Saccharomyces cerevisiae S288C: one gene and its partner. Changing the gene in region 1 together with any one later gene gives a genetic interaction. Each region holds a gene or a part of one and is shown in the gene's direction. Other genes may lie near its edges.

Region 1 (6,339 bases):
TGTTGGCCTTAGATTTATATTAGGGCCATTGCAATTAAACTGGCTTCAGTTCTCAATGAACGAAGGATTTTTGGCACGCTAAAACTGGTGTGAAGGTATTGCACATTCAAATAGGCTCTTTTATTGATTTGTCTTGAAAGCTTTTGGAATAAGATCTAGAATAAGGACTACCCGAAAAAGAACAGGATACCCAGTAAAAACGCTATTGGGTACCTAGAGAAGCTGGTTTGTCACTGTCCACACAAAATGCCCTAATAACATTCTGAAAGGTTCTGACCGTACATCTTCGCCTGCGGTTGCATTGAGGTCGCCTCGGTCATAAAGTGAATATGCGACCCGATGGTTGCTCAAATGTTAAATGCAGGTAAAAAATAAGACCCCAGGAATTAAATAGTAAGATTTAATATATATATATATAACGGGCACAATTCGTTCATCAAACATGCAGCGGAGTTTCAAATTTGCTATAATATAGAACATGTTTAATTCAACCAATCGAAACGTACAGGCGCACACTATATTCAAGCAGTAAAACTACTATCTGAACATTGAGGTCGAATATATATATTATAGGCATAAAATCTCCTACCAAACTTGCATCAAACCTCTAAAATTACTATTATATATTCAACTTATTTAACGTGCCCAATGGAAATGCACTGGATAACCCTCGTTGCATTTATTGCTACATTCTTCAACCTAGCTGCTACCTCGATCAACAATAGTTCCCTCCCTGATGTTGATCTTACTAATCCTTTGAGATTCTTCACTAACATTCCAGCAGGACTTAATTTTAATGAAGTCATTTTTCTCGAAAGAAACGGATTCTATCTTGGTGGAATAGACTCTCCCTCAATCTACCACTTAATAAATGGTACAGCTGTGTATTTTGGGGATGTCAGAGATAATATCATGCCGGGTACAGTTGGCACTACTAGGAATGTTACAGATGTCGACTATGGCTCCTTACTGACAGAGTATGGTTATGAAGCTAATACAGATTATGTCTCGCGTTGGATCGCCACTCATGTAGTAATCTCTCCATTGAATGCTACAGAGTTTTTCCAAACACCCGTGCCAGTACCAGTGCCAGTGCCGATAACAATACTGCACCAACAGGTGAACTCAAAACTACATTAGTCAGGACCCGTTCAGCCCGTTAATCGTGGGAATCTCTGTACTGAGGGTCAACTAGTGTATGCGACTGTGATTCAGATAATACCTTAAGCGTCGAAACCTCATACCCCCTCATCTGGCTCGGGAGCCAGTATACTATATATATATATATATATATATATATATATATATAAATTCCTAAAATACTCTCACACAGAAGCACAATAATGAGTGACGCAAATGCAATTTATGACTAATTCATCACCAAAGAGAAATATGCAGCGTTAACTCTCAATCTAAGAATATGTAACAGATTTTAATCTCACGAACTAGCGACTTTAATTGTTGTACCTTATTCCTTAGTAACGTTAGTAGTGTCTAATATTTTACTAGACGGTGCCACGATTTCAGAGATGTTAGATCAAAATTCCTTTCTTAAGAACAAGGATATGGCAAAGTATGGTAAACAAGACGTACAAGAGTGTTAAAGATAATGCATAGAACACGCTCAGTGTAAGCAAGATTAGTACAACTGCTGATCTGGAGCCAAGACAACAAATATCACATCCCGTTTGTCATGTTAAAGATAGCTTATCATAAGTTAGCTGAGACACTCAACCTCATATAAAACAAAAACTGATTATTTTGGTGAAATAATGAATCTTAAAGCTTGATAGTATTTGTATTGAATTACTACTCACAAACTATTTAAAACATCAAGCCAAATATATGCGGAGCACAGAGAAATATTTGTGAATTATATCTTTTGTTGGAAAGACAAGCAACTATCCTAGCGACATTAGGATTGCCAAGACATCCGGTTTTATTCAGACCCTTACATCAGCAGCAGCACGTTCCATCTTTTCAAACTTCCTGCCAAACATTTATGAAGACATGAAACTCTAAAATGTCATCTATTTATAGTAGTCATATTACTATTATATTATTACATGCGGTGTAAGAAGATGACATAGGATTGGGACACAGTCATCGAACTTAATGGACGCTGAAGTGCAAGGATTGATAATGTAATGGGATAATGAAACATATAAAACGGAATGAGGAATAATCCTAATATTATCATGTAGAAATATCGATTCCATTTTGAGGATTCCTATATCCTCTAGGAGAACTTCTAGCATATTCTATATACCTAATATTATTGTCTTTGTGAACAATGGATTCCCACAAATTATCTCAAAATTCACAAATATCTCATTCTCGCATTCCAACAGTTATGTTACTCATTCTATTCGTTTGTTATGTGTGTTTTATGAACGTTTGGGATGACGTATTGTCATACTGACGTATCTTATTTTGAGATACAACATAGTTGTATTTTTAGCCTCCTTAGCTTAGTGGTAGAGCGTTGCACTTGTAATGCAAAGGTCGCTAGTTCAATTCTGGCAGGTGGCATTATACCGGTATTATTTTTTTTCCCTTTGTTCTTATTTCTCTATCATTTATAACTTTATGATTTTTTAAAGGTTGAATGGTCAATGTGAAAATTAAAACTAAAAACATATAGTTGACAAGTGAGAAAAAGAGCAAAAGGGAGAAAAGAAATTGTTAGAATAAAACCATGCTGTTAGAATTGATTTCTTATGCAGGAACCGTTTCAGGGTTTCTTTTTTTAACACTTTCAATTGCATCGGGTTTATACTACATTAGTGAACTTGTTGAAGAACACACAGAACCCACAAGACGGTTTCTCACAAGGGCTATTTATGGTATAATATTAATATTAATTCTGCTACTGTTACTAGACGGTTTCCCGTTCAAACTTACACTTTTTTCCATTGCATGTTACATAGTATATTACCAAAACTTAAAAAGTTTCCCATTTATTTCGTTAACCAGCCCAACTTTCCTATTAAGCTGCGTATGTGTGGTCTTGAATCACTACTTCTGGTTCAAATATTTTAATGATACGGAAGTTCCCCCACAGTTCAAATTTGATCCAAATTATATACCACGCAGACGTGCTAGTTTCGCTGAAGTAGCCTCATTTTTTGGTATATGCGTTTGGTTCATACCATTTGCCTTATTTGTTTCTCTGTCAGCTGGTGATTATGTGCTACCAACGACTAGTGAGCAACATATGGCTAAGAAAAATGATGACATCACAACGAACAACCAGCCAAAATTTCGTAAAAGGGCTGTTGGGTTAGCTCGTGTAGTCATCAACTCGGTAAGGAAGTACATCTACTCTCTAGCCCGTGTATTCGGTTATGAGATAGAACCTGACTTTGATAGATTGGCTGTTTAGGATTGCCTTTTTTTTTAACATGTAGTTAGTTTTTCTTTATTTGAATATTCTAAATAAGAAATATGTGTAATGCTCTGCCAACTATTTTGCACAGGAAAGAAAAATCACCAATACAATACTACTATATTTTACCCAAGTTAATACGGGAAAGTATATTTTCTTTTCCATATTTTTCTTTTTTATTGACGTTTGCATTTTTTAGAGCAACTAGTAAACAAAAAACCAGTCAGGCCCAGTAGATTAAGTATTGTCATTACATAGACAAAGGCAAGAGAAAGAGAGCATTTTCTTTCGGTCTCTAGTTATGTCTGTTAAAGAGCATAACGAAGAAGATATTATTGGTGATGAATTACAGAATTCGAGGCAACTCTCCATTGATTGCGACTCAGTTAAAATTTCACTAAGGAACACATATTGGACCAAAGACTATACAACAGGTATCAAATTATTCATAAAACATATGAAGAGAGAAAATGATTTGCTGATTAAAGACATCAAATTTTACAATGATTTTGTCAACAAATTTTGGAAACCAACATTGAACAATTTACAAAAAATGGAAGCAACCAATTCAATGAATAGCAGGCTGCTGGAAGTGATGAGCAAACAGTTTAATATAATATCAACAGAGCAAGTTGAAAGAGATTGTAAAATTCCATTGCAAGAACTAAGAGATCTTAATGAGAGCTTCCTTCGTGAGGCAGAAAACGATTTGTCATCTCGTTATTCAGCTTACATTAAGGATTTAGTCGCAGCTAAAGAGGCACTAATTGGATGTGAGAAAAGAGTTCAGTCTATATATAAATTGAAAAAAGCCAATACGCCAGTGGAAAATTCTTCCTCTGTTTTTGATAATGGAAAGGATAGTGCACCGTTAACCAGGTTGAACTTCGTATGCGAGTTTCCTTACACTTTAGACGAGAGGTTAAAATTTGAGGATTGCGACCAATTTATGTCATTTTTGCAAACCTTGAAGGGAAAAGTCATCCTGGAGAAAAGTGTCTTTTCCGTTCCAGGATTGTCAAATCAAAGTTTCCAAGGCAGGTCATTGATCAAAGAATTGAAAAAACTTGAACCCAGACTAAACCTGTCCTTATTTAATATCGATAGGATAGGTAACGAATTCATCCAACTGGGTATAATACAAGAATATTCCCTGAGTTTTTACTCTAGCAAAGTTTCTCAGTTTGACCAGGAAAAATACTATTACTGGAACAGTGAAGTCCTTGCTACGCAAGAGAGTAATGGTAATGCTGGAAACAGAAAAAAAAAATCGTATGGTGAGTTAACACACTCCGACAATGAACACGAAGAAAAGTCCAACGTTTCATCTATCAAAACATCTATATCCGATTGGATCCGCAAAGTTAGTCAACATGATAATGATGATTGCGATGCAGCGGGAAGTACAGATATGAATAAAAATGAGTGGAAGAGTTTAAAACAGCAACTTGAATCATCACAAGATATTTTTTTCTCCAAGTGTTGCCAGTTGGAATATTCTAAAGTGCAGTTGGAAAAAACCATTTATGATTATTGTAAAAATTACTCTAAAATGGAGGACGGAATCAAACGAGCTCTAGAATCATCAAACATGATGTTTCAACAAAAATGTGAAAAATTTACTGACTCACCTGTGTGTTCTCTACAAGAAGCACAACTGCCACAGGAAACTGCCAATGCGGATGTAAGAGGGTTTTTCCTCAGGGATAATGGCATACCCTTTCGCAGGTGGAATATCCTAGAAGCGAGTGATCCAGTCGACGCTTGCAAAGAAATCTCCATAAAAAGCGAAAAGTTTTTCTGTGGTAGTGAAATAAATAATGAACTGGCTGCTCTTGATACGTTAGGGGCAATAAAGATTATACTGCGGCAGATTGAAAAGGAACCAAATGCTAATAAAGTCATACAAAGTTGGCACAGGGATATTGATTTTGTAAGGGTTTCTAATTTGAAAAGAGACTTATTGGGGGAATTCAAAGGATCGAAAACTACCGAAAATACAAACTCTATAATCACTGCTCATTTTTTTGAAAACTCGCACAGCTATGTCACTAATGATCTCGTCGGACTGATAAAATTATGGCTGTTAGAGCTACCCGACAGCCTAATACCTTCAAACCACTACGATGACTTAATTAAGGCCGAAAAATCGCTAACATCCCTATGTGAACAGTTTCCGACGAGCTCCTTAAGGTTTCTACAAGAACTAGCAAACCATTTTCAATTGATCAATAGCAAATACTCACTTCCGCCGCAAACAATACAAGATTTGTTTAGAGACAACAGTGACATAGACATACCATTGGCCCATCACTTCGTAAGAAGAACAGGCTTACAGAACCCTATCGACATCAAAATCTTGTCACCAACATTATCTACATTTTTCATCAACGAAAGAACTGTAGAAACTTTGCAAACGTTGATCGCAAACAGGATCACGACGGCAACTACTGCGACACTCACTGAACCGCCGACGATAATTATAAAGGATACAACGGCACCTATACACTCTACCCCTAAGCCACCGCCAAACGACAAGGATGGCCATTTCATACCTCGGCCATTCAAGACTAGTTCTACTCCGACAACCCCAGAGAGACCTAAACGTAAGAGTGGTTTATTCCTTCCCATCAACGTCAACGATGTCCCTTCTACATAACTCCATGCATGCTACATAGTAACTACGTAAATCACCTGCTACCTCTCTGTTCTTTCGTCCCGCCTCGAGGTTGTGCTGCTTTTGTACCTATTGTGGCTGTCGGTGTTACATTACGGTGCCTCGGTGTTACGCGGTGCTTCGTCCTGGTGGTCCACGCGGCCTTGCGCTTTGGCCTTGGTGGGCTTCGAGGCTGTATTATATAAATGGGCCTGATGTTCGTTAAAAGCTGCAGTATTGTTCCTGAGCTTGTTTCTTTTTCAAAGGTTTCCTTTTTTCTTAGTGGGGTCCTTTC
Region 2 (5,947 bases), on another chromosome or scaffold:
CAAAAACTGGTGGGGGAATGAAGATAGAATTGATTTTTAACGTCAACTCCTTTTTTTTATCAAGTGATTTCAACCCATCCTTCTTCGACGAATGCGTTATTAGTGTATCTCCAGTAGATATGTTGTTTTCGACTGTAGAGCCAGTAAGCAATCCGATTTGGCCCGCAGTTAAAATATTTACAGGTTGTGATGTTCCCGCATGGGGTATCAGTAATTTACCCAATTTAAATTTTTCCCCAGTAGTAGAATTATAAACGGTATTGCCACTGTTTAGTGTACCTGAATAAATTCTAATGAATATTTGTTTACCCCTGATTGGATCCGTAATCACTTTGAATGCAAGAGCAATGCAAAGATTTTTGTTGTTGTTTACTAAACATCCAACTTTGGGGTCATATTTCATTGGAACGGTTTTATCATTTAGTTCTGGTAGTTCGGCTTCAATGGGCGAAGGGAGATAATTAACTATAGCATCTAATAGAGGCTGCACGCCAATATTTTTAAAAGACGCACCGCATAAGACAGGTACAATCATATTCTTCATAGTCAGTTTTCTTATTGAAGCGTTCAAAAACTGTGCGGAAACCTTGGAGTAATCGCCTTCTGCCTCCTCTAAGAAGTGCTGGACTAAATCTTCGTCGTATTCAGTCAAAGTCTCTATCATCGATTCCCTACAACGATTACACTGCTCAAGAGAAGTACCATCCAACTCATCCACGATAATTTCATCAGGATTTTCTGGATTCCAGGTTAATCGCTTCCCATTTACGACGTCAATAACACCTTGGAAAACATAATCATTGCTAGTCGGTTGTTTTCGATAGTAAGGAATGTTTACCAACACCGGTTTGGTAGTTGTTCCTCTCATAAATTTATTTATCAAGTCATTGACTGTATGGTTGAAACTCGCCCCCATACGATCCATTTTGTTGATAAAGCAGATTTTGGGCTTCGATTTACTTTGCTTCCAAACCTTCTCTGTCTGTGCCTCTACGCCGGCAACAGCGTCCAAAATGACCACGCATGAATCAATAACTTTCAAAGCCCTAATCACTTCAAAAGTAAAATCTATATGTCCCGGCGTATCAATAAGATTTATTGCAAAAGTATTTCGCCATGGGAATGAAATCGCAGCGCTTTGAATTGTGATACCTCGGGATCTCTCCTGCTCTAAAAAATCAGTTATCGTATCGCCAGTGTCGACGTCTCCAATATGCTTTGAGATTCCTGCATAATAAAGCATCCTCTCTGTTGTGGTAGTTTTACCTGCATCGATATGGGCTATAATTCCTATATTTCTAACCTTAGACAGTGGACTTCTTGCGGTCGATAAGTATCTACTTCCAACGTTAATTACACTTAATCGGTTCTTGCTAATGTTTACTCTTGCGCCCGCCCATCTGCGCACATTCCATTTCCACATAGCCTCCCTCACTTATCTTGCCCCTTTTGTATATCTCTGACTGCCGTTTTGCCACCAGAAAGCTTGTTGATCTATTTCACATTATCTTCTTTTAACCGCCCAGCCTCCGCGCCGTCGTCGTTCTCTGTGCTGATTGGTTATCTCCCCTCTCACTAAGGGAAGGCCTCAAAAATTGTCGAAATGAGAAGAGGCTGAAACGATTTACTAATCATCATAGCCTGCTTAAACGAGTTAACACTAAGGGGAAGGGTACGACTATCATTTGTTCGGATCTCTGAACCGGATATTTTCTTTGTTACACACATCAAGTTTTTGCATGAATAGATCATATTTCGAATGATTTAACGTATTACAGCTTAGCAATAAAGGGAGTAAAGAAATAATATATTTGGATACAGCATACAAGAATATATATACATATGACCAAAAAACTACCTTCAGAGTTGAAACAGACGAGAAAGTCTATCCAGACAGCTTGTGAATTCTGTCATACCAAACATATACAGTGTGACGTAGGGAGGCCATGTCAAAACTGTTTAAAAAGAAATATTGGGAAGTTTTGCAGAGATAAGAAAAGGAAATCAAGAAAACGAATTGAGAAGCATGGAACACAACCATACTTGAATTTGGGGAAGAGGCTGGTAATACATGATGTGCCGTCGAAGACGGTATCCCCCTCAAGCGTACATCTGCAGCGAGATTTTCTATCTTCAGATCAGGAAAAACCAGGCAAAACACCTGCCCACAATACGAATATCCAATATACGTATAATATAAATGATAACTTTCAAAGCGCTGGATCTATTCCACGTATTACGAACTTCAATACGAATAACCGCCAGACCGTCTTAGAAAATACTTCTAATAATATATCAGCTTCACAAGCAGTACATTTAATGAATGACCCCATCATACCCACCGTACGGAAGAGTACTCTCAATTTAAAGTCGCATTTCCTAGAGCAACATAAAGCAATGCAGCAGCCGCTGGCTACCAATTGTTTGGTTGCTACTTCAAACGTTCCTGTGCACTCTGGAATGGACGATAGTAATAAGAGTGACGATGATGTCGATGACGAAACTAATATTCACTTTGATAGTATGTGGTGCAATGACGAATACATGAAATTAAAGGATATAGTAGATATTTCAACGCCGTTTTTACCGAATAACTCCCAGATATTTTCCCTCCAAGAATCAGAATATCCCAATCCTAGCGCATCTACACGGGGAAATTCGTCATTGCATTTAACGAACCTTTTAAACTCGACAAAAAGCGTGAATGACCAAAAGGACTCCTCGATCGGCCATTCCACTTCTACTTTCAATACATATGATGAAGTAGTGTCTAGGCCCTTTATATCTTTAGACATGCTGCATTTGAATCGTGGAGCAAACGCTAATACACACCCATCACATAACGCCAAACTGGAAAGCGAATGTGACAGTTCTAGTCACTCCGATGCAGATCTGGAGAAACATGATACCGATTTCATATCACCTTCAAAGTTTCGTGAATTAGTAAAGACTCCTCAAGACCTATATGACAATAAATGTTTAATAAAACCGCATAATTACAAGCTCGCATACACCAAACTGCTAACTACTTTAAGAAAAAAATTTCTTGAAGGAGCTGAAATTGATAAATCTGCCTCAGTAAAAGACGAACACAGTACCCAAAAGCATAATTTGAGATATGATTTAGAAGTTATAATACGCTCTATACTAGAAAGATATGCTCCAATTTTCATTTCGTTAACATCCAATATGATTGAAGAGGATTTGCTATTACAGGAAGTTACCTTGCAAAGGGCTTTATTAGATTTGGAGAACATGGCAAAATTAGTAAGCTGCACACCGATGTGCATCTGGAGAAGATCAGGCGAGATTTGTTTTGTCAGTAACGAATTCTATTCTTTAACAGGTTTTAACAAAAATTTACTATTAGACCGCACCTCCTTTATTTTTGAATATCTGGATCATAAAAGCGTTTCGAATTACTTTCAAATATTTAACGAATTGCTGGCATTTGGTTACAATGATATCAATAAAAGGAAAAAACTATTGATGTTGAACGCATGTTCTTCTACCTCGTCAAAAATTACAGAAGGGTTTTCTTTTACTACGGATGGAAAAGCAATCTTTACTAAGTGCAATTTATTATTAAGTAACGGTCTTTATTTGAAGTGTGCCTGTTGTTGGACAGTAAAAAGGGACTCGTTTAATATCCCAATTCTCGTAATGGGACAATTTTTACCAATTTTTGAAATGGACTGATCACTATTTTTTGGGCTTATTACTGATTACAGTTTTTATATGCATTCTGTCCGTTTCTTTGATTTTATCGCTTATTTTTTACTTAGGTTGGCAATTCAGTATTCTTTAGCGTTTCTTTTTTTTATTTTACTTTCCGTATCAACAATAATATTTATATTTATGTACAGTTTTACATTGTAATTTAGTTTCTCAGGAATTCGTCAAAAATGTAAAATCATCCATTGAAAACCTTCTTCCCTGAAGAATTTTAAGCATAACTTTATATTTTTAAACAAGGTGGATCTAGAAACTTTGTATTAATTACAAGAATTTATAATATTATTCGGGAGCAACAATATGGATTTCTTGCCAGTAAAACCCTACCTATTACTTCCCTCTTTATTATTAGCCGGGTCACACTAAATTGAAAAATTTGTTCTTTCCTGTTTTTGGAGCAACAGAAAAGTATAAATAGAGCTAGTGTTGTCCGATTGGCAAAAACTTCTTCCCTTTGTTACTTCTTCTTTAAAATTCAAATTTTTCTTTTGATTTTTTTTCAAAAGGCTAACATCAGTAGTGGTTAATACTATCTTTAGATAATATTAATTTCATTATACCATAGAAACCTAAAGATTAGGTTATTTTCGTTCTTCATGTTATGGAGTGTGAGTGATGAGGAGCTTGCTCTTTTAAGCTCATATTACGTAATAAGTTAATACTGGAGCGAGAATAATTTAAATCATTTCATCATAACCCATAGCTGAATGAACTTTGACTACTCCTAAACAAAGTAGTAACAATTTTCATTTCGTTTCCGGTTTCTTAGATCGAATATTATTCTGAGGAAATTCCCTGATTACATATCAGGGAAAGGTTCGCGTTTTTAGAGAATTGCGTAATGCGATTTGAAAGTTTAAATTCCTAAGCGACTCTTCTTCATGATAAGACAGTTTATATTTTGTATACTTTCTCATTCCCATAATTTGTAGTGCCTACGGGGATGGACTTGTCTTGGTACCAACTGACGGTACGTTCTGATGCTGCCTTGCTTGTGCTCCAACATTTTTTTTTTAATTTCATTTTCGTGTACGGTGCGTATATCGAGATGGCATCTGAGTATATTTACTTTGGTACATATACTAATATTAACTAAATACAAGGATGGTGGTTGAAGATTCCTAACGTACAGGAAGCAACCAACTAGGAAAATATATGCACTGCTGCATGCTTTCGATAACACTTGTGACGTAATGATGGAGGCTTCCTTGACTACTGATTGCTGCTTGCACTATTATCTGCACCAGATGAATTTGTTGAATTCGGAGGAGGTTTCGCTGTTGAAGCGTCCCCTGCTTTCGCCTTCGCATTTTTTTCTCTCTGAGCCAGTTCCCATTTTAACCTTTCTGCTGCTCGATAAACTTTGCTCTGTAAGTAGAAGCTTCCACCTTTTTCTTTATCGTTAACCTCAAATAGATAGTTAAACCTGTTATTAATCTTGTCCATGTTTAAATCGCCCTTGGATTCTTCAATATTTAAAATTTTACAACTCTCATCCAACGTAATACCACCATATTCGCCTTTTCCTGTTCCCCTTCTAGATGCATTTGTAGCACCTTGTTTCACTGATTGTGAAGCCGCTTGTCTATACGCCTCGGCGAATGCTTTTCCAAAAACTTGAGTTCCTGTGATTATAACCTGTATGAAAGCCCTGTGAGCCATATTTTATATCCAACAAGTCTATGTTTTTCTTATGCTCAAGTCACGAAGCTGTTGCCAAATTTATAGTCAGCTGAAATATGTGAATCGGATGCAAATGAGTTATAAGTTGAAGCTTCAAAATTTGCTACGTGAAAAATGATAAACGATGATGAAGTAAATAAATATCGTAAAACGAAAAACTCTCTTTTAAAAAATTCATATGTAGGAATTTCATTTGATAAGAACCTCACTCTTCATATCAAATAAGTCATTAACCTGCCATGAAATGAATTATGGAAACAATGCAGCTTTTTGAAAGGAAAAGTGCGGTGGATTTTAACGTTAAGGATCCTCTCAACTAATGATTGATGCTTAATCGTGGCATCTATAAATAAAGCATGAATTGTTCTCTATAGTTACAAAGTGGTGATTTATTATAAAAGTGTTTTGATATTCACGCTTTCAACATTAAAGCTAAAAACAAAAGAAAAAAAATGAAGACCAATGCGAAAAAAAATACCAAGATTGAAGTTTTGGAAGAAAAATTATGATGATAAAATTAAGCTTTCAA

What was found.
Region 2: mutations in SVP26 (region 1) and GSM1 together harm fitness more than expected from each alone (negative genetic interaction), as found in Saccharomyces cerevisiae (2 studies listed by BioGRID).

The regions. Positions count from the first base shown.
Region 1 is NC_001140.6:464,530-470,868, forward strand, and holds SVP26 (Svp26p), read left to right. Parts: upstream 1-2,698; coding exon 2,699-3,385; downstream 3,386-6,339. Other genes in the region: YHR180W (uncharacterized protein), read left to right, coding at 649-1,140; RGD3 (Rgd3p), read left to right, coding at 3,690-6,047. UniProt on the Saccharomyces cerevisiae protein: Plays a role in retention of a subset of membrane proteins in the early Golgi compartments. Facilitates endoplasmic reticulum to Golgi transport of mannosyltransferases MNN2 and MNN5.
Region 2 is NC_001142.9:226,777-232,723, reverse strand, and holds GSM1 (Gsm1p), read left to right. Parts: upstream 1-1,842; coding exon 1,843-3,699; downstream 3,700-5,947. Other genes in the region: mitochondrial elongation factor MEF2, read right to left, coding at 1-1,423; import motor complex subunit PAM16, read right to left, coding at 4,948-5,397. UniProt on the Saccharomyces cerevisiae protein: Transcription factor which regulates nonfermentable carbon utilization. Binds specifically to 5'-CGGN(8)CGG-3' and 5'-CGGN(9)CGG-3' sequences in the promoter region.